3 linked regions of the Macaca mulatta genome follow. The protein of the gene in region 2 interacts with the protein of the main gene of each other region in a biochemical or structural test. Links are inferred from orthologs where the notes say so. Each region holds a gene or a part of one and is shown on either strand. Other genes may lie near its edges.

Region 1 (3,991 bases), on a different chromosome or scaffold from region 2:
TCAGGTAAGAGTAAGAGAACACGAGTTGGATGCATCTACAAATAATTCAATAATAAATCAAAGGAAGAAATCAAGATATGGAGATATCCACATGAAATATCCAGCAGGCAGGTAAAAACGTAGGTTTTGAGCTACCAACAACGTATCCAGATATGAAATATACTGTATTTTCAACCTTGTTTAGAATCATTGTTAGTGGATATTTAAATAAGAATTGGAAGAACCTTACATATCAGCTAGATTATGTACACTTCCACCTCCTCTTATCACTTCTACTGCAAAAATATTTCTAGCTTAAAGTCAAAAGCTGGTTTATGTAAATATGCAAAAAGGACAAGTGGGGGCTGTGGTAAGGTGGAGATACACGACCTGTCTAAAGAAGGCAGCCATTTACTCACCTCCAGCAGTTTAGTGCCTCGCTTGAATACAGACCCTAAATGACAAGACCTTCCTATTCGTCAAGAAAAGCAGAAAATTCAGATTTTATGTAATATCTCCCATTTTCAAATATTAGCAACTAATTACATTTGAAAATAAAACCACACTGTGCCAGCCAAACAAAATGCTTCTGTGGACAGATTCCAGCAAGGGCCACCAGTGTGGCAGAATTAAAACAAGGTCTGTCAACTCCTACAATATTCTTTCCACTACTTCAAAGAATTCTCAGCTGATAGCTTGGTGATTCCCTAAGAAAGCAGCTGTTTTTGCCTCTAAGCAAAATGGCCCCTATTTGGCAATACTTTATGAGTTCCTTTACAGATTTTTAAACAATTTCCCTGTCTCCTCTTACCCTATCCGGACACCAGCTTCTAGCATCACAGAGACGTCCTACACCCATTCCATTGCAAGCTGAGAAGCCAAACTTGCAAGTAAAGCAAAAGTAAGGAGTGAGAGCCTGATGGGATTTCTAAGGAGTAAAGTATGTAAGATACATGGCATCTTTTTGGTTTTCTTTAAAAAAAAAAAAAAACAAACAAACAAACAAAAAAAAAAATAGATGTTTGTGACTAGTCAGACACTTGAAGGGGAAAATGTCCGTAACTTAAGTCAGAAATATATGAGCAAATACTCCTGACAAACCAAATAGTTTCCACTGTAAGACAGCAAGAGGGACAGGAGGAGAACAGGGCAAAAGGGAAAGTAAAAGTTACTGGCCTTTGAGAAATATCAGACAGCTTTTAATGTTTAGCATAAAAGGTACAACATTAATCTCCATTCTTAGTAGAAGCAGTTAGCATGAAACATTCTTTAAGCAGCAAGAAACTGGAATTTAGAAACACTATTAGAAGAGCAAAGCAATCTTTACAGAAAAGGTAAATGAAGAAAAGGAAACAAAAATAGTCTGGTAGTCACACTGCTGCTTTAGAAGCTTTAAAAATGTAACAACACTTCCTAATTATACTAAAACATTTAAAAGCACAGATCGGGGGTATGTAACAACGTAGCAAACTTAAACATACAAAGGCTAAAAATTCTTAACCAAATGACAGCACCAAGTTTCTAACGCTGCAAAAACAAAACAAAAAAACCCCGAAATTGGTAGCATGTGCACCGGCCCCTGTTAATCGGAGGAGCGGGGGAAACCAGGAGAATGAGGAGTGATTGCTGATGGCGAACAGAGCAGGCCACGTTACTGCTGGCAGGCGAGCTCGCAATTCCTTTGAGCAAGCACTACGGCCAGGGCATTCTCGAAAAGCCACTAAAACGAGCGTACTGGACACCTAAAACGGCAGGCTGACAGCAGCTCCGCGCTAAGACCGAGAAGGCGGAAAAGTGGCCTGCTTTGACCTCCGCAGAAAACTGAGGCTCCTGCAACTGTTGTCTTGGAATCAAAGGGCAAAGCATTCACCTCTCAGGGGTTGGATTATTCGGATAAACTCCCGCCAGCTCCCTGCGGCCTTCCCACACACCCGGTGGATGTCAACACTGAGAGCCAGCCGTATGGCGAGCCTCTCAGTGTGCGCCGTCCTTCTGGAGACGCGGCGAGACCGGGAAGAAAGACAGCCCTGCGCGCGCCCCGCCTCCCCAGCCCTTCCCCAGCGCCAGCCCGGCGCCCGCGCTGGGGTGCTGCGGCCGGGAAGCGGGGTCCCGCGTGCTCCTCACCTTTTTCAGCGCAGGCACCAGCAGTCCCCGCCACTTGGGCGCGTTCTCTTCGCTGAAAAACTCGTATGGCAGCTGCTGCGCCTGCATGGTGCCCCCGGGGCGCCTCTGGGCGGGGAGAGGGGCGGCGGCGGCCGGGCCGGGGAGCTGCGAGAGGGCGAGATCGCAGCACGGAACAGGGCCGCGGCCCCACCGGACGGCCCGGCCCCCTCCGGGCGCCGCGCAGCCGGGCTAGCCCTGGTGAGGGGGCTGGGGGGCGAGGCCCGCGCCCGGCCACACACCCGACACGGGTACCAACTGTGGAGAACGAACGCGGCCCGGAGGCGGCGGCATCCCGCACCACCGCCCCGGGGCCAGGCCCCCCGCGCCTCCTCCCCGGCCCGCCGGCGCCGCCCGGGGCTGCCCTCTGCCGCGGCCGCCGCCCGCCCGCCCGCCGGGGCTGCACTCTCGGGCCCGGCCTGGCCCCGCGGCGGAGCTGGCGGCTGGGGGAGGACGTGTGGAGGTACGCTCCGGCCGCGGCGCCCGCTCTGCTCAGTTGGTACCCCGAAACGCAGGAGCCCCGGGCGGGGCTGAGCTGGGGCGGGGGTCTCACGGGGAAGGGGAAGGACCCGAGGTCGTTGTTGGGGAATCTGGCTGCCCTGAGGTGCCGCCGCAGCCGCCGCCGCCGCCGCCGCCGGTGTAGCGCTAGAGCTTCCTACTAGCGAACTGAACCTGTTCGCTACTGAGCATGCGCCGCCGGGCTGGGCTGGTTCGCTCCGGGTTTTCCGGCTCCCGGTGAAGGAGGAGGGAAGCTCGAGAGAGAGAGAGGGAGGGCGCCTGGCCAGGCTGTTGCTGCGCTCCTGGGGGCTGCAGGGGAGGGGCGAAAGGACCCGAGAAGTCGAACCCTGGCAAAGTGGAGCCTGCAGGGGTGGGTGATAACTAGGGTAAAGAGGCTCCCCATTGTGTGGTCTGGCCGTGAGGGCTCCCACCCCTCTCGGAATCCCTGGGCCCTTCGTTTCGGAAAGGGGTGTGTGTACTTTGTTCCTGAACACGAAGATAAGGACTGCCCAGAGCACGCAATGTATAGTAAACAGACTGGACAAAAGATACAGGTGCTCTGTCACGAAACCTACTGCTCAGTATCTGCTGAGTAGTAGAAGTGATTGCAGTGTTTCTAACTGGTCTTTCCACAAAACCAAGAATAAAATGTGTACGTGTAGTATTGATTTTGTGTGTATGTTTTAGATTCCCTCTGTTCATCTTTTAAACCCACTCCAGATATGAACTCCAATAAACACTTTCCTCCAGTGGATATCGAGACCTCTTCTACAGCTCCTAGAGCACTGCACTTACGCCCTTCTCAGGGCGTTCAGTCTATCGTGTTTTGTATCTTTTGAGGTTCTTTCGACTAGATAATATACTGGAAGGCCGATCTTTTTCACCAGGGCCTCTACACAGAACAGGCACTCAGTGAATATTAGTGGAATGCTAAAGGAGCAGTATTTATAAACTGTCCCTCCAGGCCACTGTTTGTTTATAATAGGGGCACTTTGTGGCAGACACCTTATGATTTATCATTAATTATCACTTTTTGAGTATCATCTCATTTAATCCCCATAGCAACCCTATTATTTTCATTTCACCGATAAGGCAGTTTAGAGGAACTAGCCTGGGTTAAAGCTGACATTGTGTCCTCCTATTCCTGAGAACAGTAACCAGGATCAGGCAAACGAGAAAGGTTCAGTGGTTCTTAATCTTTACAGGACCTCTTTGAAAATCTGGAAAAAACTCTTAGGTTATTTCCTTTAAAAATATACAGGCCGGCCAGGCGAGGTGGCTCATGCCTGTAGCACTTTAGGAGGCTGAGGCAAGTGGATCACCTGAGGTCAGGAGTTCGAGACCAGCCTGGCCA
Region 2 (3,564 bases):
TCGTCAATAACCTAAATACCGGGCAAGTGTTGCATGTGGTACAGGCTCTTTACCCATTCAGCTCATCTAACGATGAAGAACTTAATTTCGAGAAAGGAGATGTAATGGATGTTATTGAAAAACCTGAAAATGACCCAGAATGGTGGAAATGCAGGAAGATCAATGGTATGGTTGGTCTAGTACCAAAAAACTATGTTACCGTTATGCAGAATAATCCATTAACCTCAGGTTTGGAGCCATCACCTCCACAGTGTGATTACATTAGGCCTTCACTCACGGGAAAGTTTGCTGGCAATCCTTGGTATTATGGCAAAGTCACCAGGCATCAAGCAGAAATGGCATTAAACGAAAGAGGACACGAAGGGGATTTCCTCATTCGAGATAGTGAATCTTCGGTAAGTTGATTTTCAGATGTAAATACAAATAGAGCTCTATGTATTAAAAAGAAAAAGAGAAATGGAGAGGTTAAGTGGCTTCCCTAAAGTTAACCAGGTAACAAGCTGGGACATAACATAAGCATAAATGTTCCAAAGCTAAAGTCAGCATTCTTTCTAGCTATCTATTTTCAATGAAAAGAGAGTTGTGGCAGTGATGCTACATGCTGAGTTATTTGGTCTTTTCTAGTTCTGTTGATTTTGCATTCCTGATATATTTTCTGTTGCATTAAACTAAATGGAGAAAATGGAACATTGACTTCTTCATTGAATGTAGAATAATACTGTAGATTAAATTGGGAAACATTTTAAAAATTGCTATTGGATACAATGTGTAAGAAGATAGTCACTGTAGTCCTTATGACATAGGAAATCCCTGAATTTAAAAAATTGATACTAAGTTTCTTCATAAATTGGTTACCTGGAAATTGGAATACACTTTTTATTGTAATCTCAAAAAACCTATTTTAACACTGTGTTTGAAATGCATTTGCAATAAAAGGTAAATTATATTGCAATACTAGTAAACAATAAAACTATAAAACCATAAAAGTTGAAAAATAGTATGGTTTCATGGTCTCTTAGATACTGTTTAGGATATTAGAATTTGATGACACTCATTTTCCTTAAAAATGCCCTTTTCCTTGATAAAAGATATCATTACTTTTCCATTTATTAAATCATGATTAATCTTGGCTTTGCGTGAGTATATTTGTACAAAAGGGAATGTGTAATTGCACAAAATTTTGAAAGAAAATGTGTGGAAGTGGGGTGTGGTGGGGAGAGAGATTAATTGAACTTCTAATATGAAGTTCAGGAAAATGGGGCCTGTGCCTAATCCCTCAGAAAAGCAGTTGGTTGGCAGTAGGGAAGAGTGATGACATCCATTTTCTGTTAGTTGCCTGATCTGGCTCACTGTTTGAAACTTTGGGAGTAACTGTAGAAAAAGAGGCTTTTGGGGGTTGATATAGACTGTAACAACAACAACAACAACAAAAAACCTAATTAAAAAGAAAATAGCTTGAATGCAGAATTGTGTGTATTTTCTTGTGGGTAATTGAGCATAAATATAAGACAAAATACAATATATACCATTATTTTTAGCAGTATACTTTTTAAGGTTAGGTCTCAAGTAGGCATATTTTGTTTAGCCTTCACAGTGTTTTTTAAACGTTTAAATTCATTGCCCATATTTAAATATTAGGATATTTATTGTAAAAATTCAGACTTTGGACCATTTAAAATTGAAAGAACTACCAACATTGAGACCCTATTCCTGCGGGGCAACAATCACAGCTGAGAAGTCACCACTTCTTTAGATTGGTGATACACTGTCATTTTCTCTGCCCATCTACCCTTCCACTCTGACACTTGTTTACGTTATTCTTTTGGCTCTTGTAGGCATTTGAGTTTGTGGCCTTTCCTTAAAGTTTAGATTAATTCTCATTTGTGTGTTCTTCATTTTTGGGAATTCAGCGTGTTATCCCTAAGACAGCTACTGTTAGCTACACATTGAAAAGGGGTTGGGTGGGTATCTTAGACTTTCTCATGTGTTTCTCTGACTGGAGAGAAGATAGCTCTTGTTCTTCAAATATGTAAGGGATTTGCTGTGGGTGTCTACTGGTGGAGCTGTGGGTGTTAAGAGACTTTTGATTACACAGGTTTGAATCCTGGCTCTGTTGTTAACTAGATGGATGATACTGGCCAATTTATTAATAGCTTCCCTGAGACTCAGTTTTCACATCTGTAAAAAGGGTTTTGTTTTAGGGAGTAAAGGAGATAAATCTATGTAAATAATTTACCATGGTACCTAGGACTTAGTGCTTAAATTTTAGCTTTTAGTTTAATATAAAAATACTGATAGAGGGCTTTCAAAATGTTTACTGTATTTTTTTTTCTCTTTTAGCCAAATGATTTCTCAGTATCACTAAAAGCACAAGGGAAAAACAAGCATTTTAAAGTCCAACTAAAAGAGACTGTCTACTGCATTGGGCAGCGTAAATTCAGCACCATGGAAGAACTTGTAGAACATTACAAAAAGGCACCAATTTTTACAAGTGAACAAGGAGAAAAATTATATCTTGTCAAGCATTTATCATGATACTGCTGACCAGAAGTGACTGCTGCATAGCTGTAATTTGTCATGTAATTGAAGACTGAGAAAATGTTGGGTCCATCGTGCTTGATTGGAAATGGCTGTTTCTAAACCTTTATGAGAATTGACAATAAGTATTTTTATTATAATTCAGCCCATACATATATACTATGTATGCAGTGCATCTGCATAGAACAGTTCCTTATCCTTGGCCTTCTGTTTTATTGTTTTTTTTCTTTGCTGTTTTCCCTTTGCTTCTAATATTACAGTTTTGTATTTTGAAAAAAAAAATCAAATAATGCTTATCAGAATCTTTATATGGAAGAAATCCTTTATTGCCTATCCTTTGTTTCCTTGTAAAGGCGCCCTGTTCTGTTATGGTTTTTCATTATATAAAATTATTATATCTATATATGACATATGCTAAAATAAATTTCTTGGAGAGTGTTAATCTTTTCTGTGACTAAATAGCAATAATAAATGAAAAATTAGAAATTATTTCCAGGTATTATATTTGTCACAGGCCATTGTAAATACCAAGTATATTGTGTCTGCCTTAATTTTAAAAAATGCATTCATTGTCTTCAGTCGTACAGAAAGACACATGAGACATAGATTAGAAAACATGTTGTACAATTTTAATTTACAACTGTTGGAAACAAAAATCACTTTCTTAATTTTTTTTCCAGTGCTTCTCCCTTATCTGGTTATTCAAGAAAGCCAAATTGTCTCTGAGATATTTAGCTTTTCAAACTATAAATAGATGCTCTAGTGTTATTTATTTTTTTTAATCCCACTTATTTTACCAGGGCATCTTGTATTAGGATATGTTATATTTATGCCAGTGGGAAACAAGTTATGGCCAAGTTTTGCAAAAATAGGAAGCAGTGAGATACTTGGTTTTTTCTCCTCACTAAATATCAGTAATTATCAGGAATGGTATTACCTATTTTCATTTCCTCTTTTCAGCTTTAAATTTTGTTGATTGGGACGCTAAAACTGATGTATACCTGAGGAAAAAATAGAATGTGCTCA
Region 3 (4,053 bases), on a different chromosome or scaffold from region 2:
TCTTCAGGCACATCTCTGATTATTTTCTTAAGAGAAATTCTTAGTGATAGGATTACAACATAAACTATTAGTTTCAAGCTTTTGATATGTATTTCTAAAGTGCTCTTCAGAAAAAGTTATAGCAATTTACATGTATACTGGCTGAAACTAATGTTTAAACAGCACTTTTCTTTCAAATCTTTGTCAGTCTGGGTTTTTGTTAACTTTACTAATTTGATGAAAATTGGTGTTCCCTATTTTTAGTTTGCATCTCTTTTCTTATTAGTAAAGTTACTGATTTGATTTCCTTGTGATAATTTAACAATTTCTGGTTCATCTGGGTTGATCTAGAGAAGATAATTGCTTACTGGGGTAGATGGACATGACTCGTCTGGTCATTTGATTTTTAATCACTAAATTGACTCCAGAGAGGAGGTAAAAGATGAATGCTTAGGTACCTATCAGACCAGGCACATTCCACAGGTTTTCAAAATGATCTTATTTGAGACATCCTCCAGAGGCTTTATTTTTCTAGCAAATATTTCCACTCTGCTTGTGTACATATGGACTTTCTAACATTTAAGGATTAGGACACAGACTCAGGGGCCAGAGCTTCCCAACAGTGGCTCCTATAAGAACTTAACAGTCTAGGACAGTAGACAGGCGACTGGGTTGCCTGCAGTAGCCACATCCAGAGAAACTGAAACTTACTTCACTTAATAGATGGCCAGTGCTGCCTTCTTCTTTATTCTGAGTTTCTAAGGATGCGATCTATCTATAGTCTTTGCAGAGGTATCCTGCTTTTCCTCTATTTCTCACTCCATGCTCACTACAGAGAGACAGGAGTTTCCCTACTTCATGAGGCACCAGTCCAGTACCGGAAAGCCCTGTAGGTGACAAGGCATCAAGAGCCTGTGTTCCTTCTAGCCCCAGTTCCATACTAGGGGTCTTGGGCATATTCACCTAATCCGTCTGGCATTTTGTTTCTCTTCCAAAAAAATGAAATGGCTGGACTGGATATTCTAAGCTTCCTTCCAACTCTAAACCTTCAGTGAATCTCATTGTAAATCTAAATCTAAAATTTCAATGAATCTTAGGCTAGTGAAGCACATTGTAAAATCCATCTGTACAGAGCTTGCAAAACTATGCCCTGAAATTTCACGAGATCAGTGTTCCAACATATCGTCTTCTTGCCCTAGCTCCCATACAAAGGATTTTCCTTTGTGATCAAGGGTACCTCATGACTGCCTCTGAAGCTGAACATCCTTTGAATGATGGCTGAAGTCTTCCCTTCAGCTTCTCAGTGACTTCAAGAAAAACCATTCTAATGTACGGAATTGATTAGCCACATTTTAAAAGCTTACGTCCTATAAAACATTTTGTAAATAAAGTTTCACTGTAATCTCTTTAGAGGCTTTAAAAGAGGAGAGGACGTTTCTCAGAAACATCTGTCTCTGCCTTCACTTCGCCTTCTCTTCCCAGAAGTCATAGCCACTGGCATGTGTGCCAGGACCAGGGTGTCTGTGGAAGGGGACAGGCCTGGAACCACTGCTCAGGGGGCAAAAGTCCACGGTTGTATATGTGTGTCTCTTTCCAAAGTCAAGCGGAAGTGATTTTGAATTGTGTGCCGTGCTCAGCTATATTGATTGTGAGCAATTCAATTCACTTCACATTTATAAAGCAGCTCAAGGAATCATACTGACCAGAGATTCCGAATTAGCCAGGATTCCTCTCATAGTATACATAAGCCAAAGTGTAGGACAGAATATAAGGCATTCCATTAACATATTTCAGTGCTGAGGATCATCTTTAGGAACTCAATGTACATGTGAAAAAGGACTCACCTATTTGCTTCTCCAAAGATGATGCTGTATGCTTCTGGCTGGTAGACTAGTAAAAGAGAAAGAAAAAAGATGCATAATAAAAATAAAATTATTTAAGCAAAAGAGACAGAATCGTCAAATAAACCAAGCCCTGGAAAGAGAATCCAAATACCTCAGAACTTTTGCTGACTCAGGCTTTGGTCAAGCAATTTTGCTTCACTGTCCCTCAGTTTTGTGATTTGAAATCGTACCAGTATTTTAAGTATTTTCAAGATTTAGTTTGGTCATCTGAACAAATTTACTTCCAAGCAAAACTTAAAAGTTTTGTTTGTTTTTTACTCCTTAAATCACTAGGTATGAGGCAGTAAGTGGTTCAACAGACTGAGTTGACAACTGAGGAAAGAAAAACTGTTGGGCTCTGATTCTTTACAAAATAAAAAATATTCCCTTCACTCCTATGAGCCTCCATTTCTCTGCCTATAGAATAGAATAACTAGAACAACCCATTTCTAAGAAAAAAAAAAAAGGATTGAAAAGCACTTTGCAAGCCAGGCAGTGGGCCCTCCACCCCCTTATGCCTGGTGCCTCCAGGGCACAGCAGTCTGCCAGCAGGCTTACCTCTCGGAGTTCTGCCAGCTCTTTCTGTAAGTGGAAGAGCTGAAACATCCCCAGTCCCAATCCTACCAAGGCAACCAGAACCATGAAAAACATCACAAGGAGACAAAGGCCTGTGCTGTGGTTTCCCCTCTTCTTCAAGGGTGGCAGCGGTAGTGGAGGCAGTGGTGGTGGCGGTGGAGGTGGTAGTGGCGGCGGCGGCGGCGGTGGTGGTGGCCTCCTTTGACCAGGCCTTCTGGGCACAGAGGTTGGACAGGGAAGAACTGTGCCTGGAGGGGCCCAGGGAGAGCTGGCACTGCTGTCCACCCAGTAGATCTGGGGATATGGGTAATTGAAGGGCTGCTGCATGGCAGCCGGTGAGTCAGGCCAGCCCCAGCAAACGGTTTTACTTCTCAATCCTGTAGAGGCTGAGGTGTCAAGGACAGGACTCCTGTTGCTGACTGCTCAAGAGGAGGCAAGCTGGATCTCTCTTATAGAGTTTCCATAGCTAAGGGAAACACCTCTGTCTTTCTCTTTCTCTATGTCTCTCTCTGATTCTGCTTCTCAAAGAAACACCCACTCACTTTGCAGCTGAAGCTGAGAAGCCTCAAGAAGCTCAGAGCAAACCCCTGGAAGTTTCCGCCCACAATCTTCTGACGAAAGCCTTGGAAGCCTCAGTTGCTATCGCTGTACTACCCAAACAGGTTGGTAGGCTATGCTCACCTTCCTGGGATCCTGTAGAGCAGGTCAGCATTGGGGTAGAGCCCTGTTGGCGTGAACTGCTCCCAGCTACAGGAGAATGGCCAGTGGGGCTATAATTTTATGAATTATAATTGTATCCTTTTTTATACATTACAATTGTATAATGTTAAGAATTCTACCATGTATACGACCAAAAAACTATTTAAAAATACCAAAATAACTCTAACAAAAATTGTTCAGAACCATATTTTTTAAACTATAAAAATTTTACTGAAATTGGCTCTGAGGGGAGAGACCATGGAGCCATGGCCAGAGAAGTCACTCCCACATTTTCGTTTTTGCAGGAGGAAAACACCTGTTGCCATCATCGCTTCCCCACACACAACTACCATTTACCCTGACCTGCCAATCACCATAATTTACAGGTTAAAAAACCTGCTACACCCTCTTTAGAAATTAGATCAGAGGCTGCAAACAGTGGAACCCACAGAACTGCTTTGTATTTCACAATGTTTTCATTTTCATTGTTTGCCCAGCTTATTTATTTACGTATTTATTTAAATAGAGACAGAGTCTCACTCTGTCACCCAAGCTGGAGTGGAGTGGTGCTATCGTAGTTAACTGCAGCCTCAAACTCCTGGGCTCAAGCAATCCTCTTGCCTCGGCCTCCTAAGTAGCTGGGATTATAGGCATGAGTCACTACACCTGACTTATTTATTTATTTATTTATTTATTTTTGTAGAGATGGGGACTCGCTATGTTGCCCAGGCTTGTCTCAAACTCCTAGCTTCAAGACATCCTCCCACCTCAGTTTCCCAAAGTGCTGGAATTACAGTCATGAGCCACTGCACTCAGCCCAATTGACCACTTTTAATATCAATATTAAAAATATTTTAATATATATACATTTTAAATACACATTAAAATACATATTTTTGTTCTGTTTTGCAATATC

Evidence for each region.
Region 1: the proteins of NCK1 (region 2) and SOS1 form a complex in vitro, tested with the Homo sapiens proteins (2 studies listed by BioGRID). The link is inferred for Macaca mulatta from reciprocal best matches to the Homo sapiens genes NCK1 and SOS1.
Region 3: the proteins of NCK1 (region 2) and FASLG form a complex in vitro, tested with the Homo sapiens proteins (2 studies listed by BioGRID and IntAct, with this or other methods). The link is inferred for Macaca mulatta from reciprocal best matches to the Homo sapiens genes NCK1 and FASLG.

Annotation. Positions count from the first base shown.
Region 1 is NC_133418.1:85,814,929-85,818,919, reverse strand, and holds the start of SOS1 (son of sevenless homolog 1), read right to left. Parts: upstream 2,808-3,991; 5' UTR 2,191-2,807; coding exon 2,104-2,190; intron 1,969-2,103; exon of another isoform or gene 1,850-1,968; intron 1-1,849.
Region 2 is NC_133407.1:39,960,485-39,964,048, forward strand, and holds the end of NCK1 (SH2/SH3 adapter protein NCK1), read left to right. Parts: coding exon 1-395; intron 396-2,340; coding exon 2,341-2,535; 3' UTR 2,536-3,077; downstream 3,078-3,564. UniProt on the Homo sapiens protein: Adapter protein which associates with tyrosine-phosphorylated growth factor receptors, such as KDR and PDGFRB, or their cellular substrates. Maintains low levels of EIF2S1 phosphorylation by promoting its dephosphorylation by PP1.
Region 3 is NC_133406.1:30,156,189-30,160,241, reverse strand, and holds the start of FASLG (tumor necrosis factor ligand superfamily member 6), read right to left. Parts: upstream 2,808-4,053; 5' UTR 2,766-2,807; coding exon 2,421-2,765; intron 1,870-2,420; coding exon 1,824-1,869; intron 1-1,823. UniProt on the Homo sapiens protein: Cytokine that binds to TNFRSF6/FAS, a receptor that transduces the apoptotic signal into cells. Involved in cytotoxic T-cell-mediated apoptosis, natural killer cell-mediated apoptosis and in T-cell development.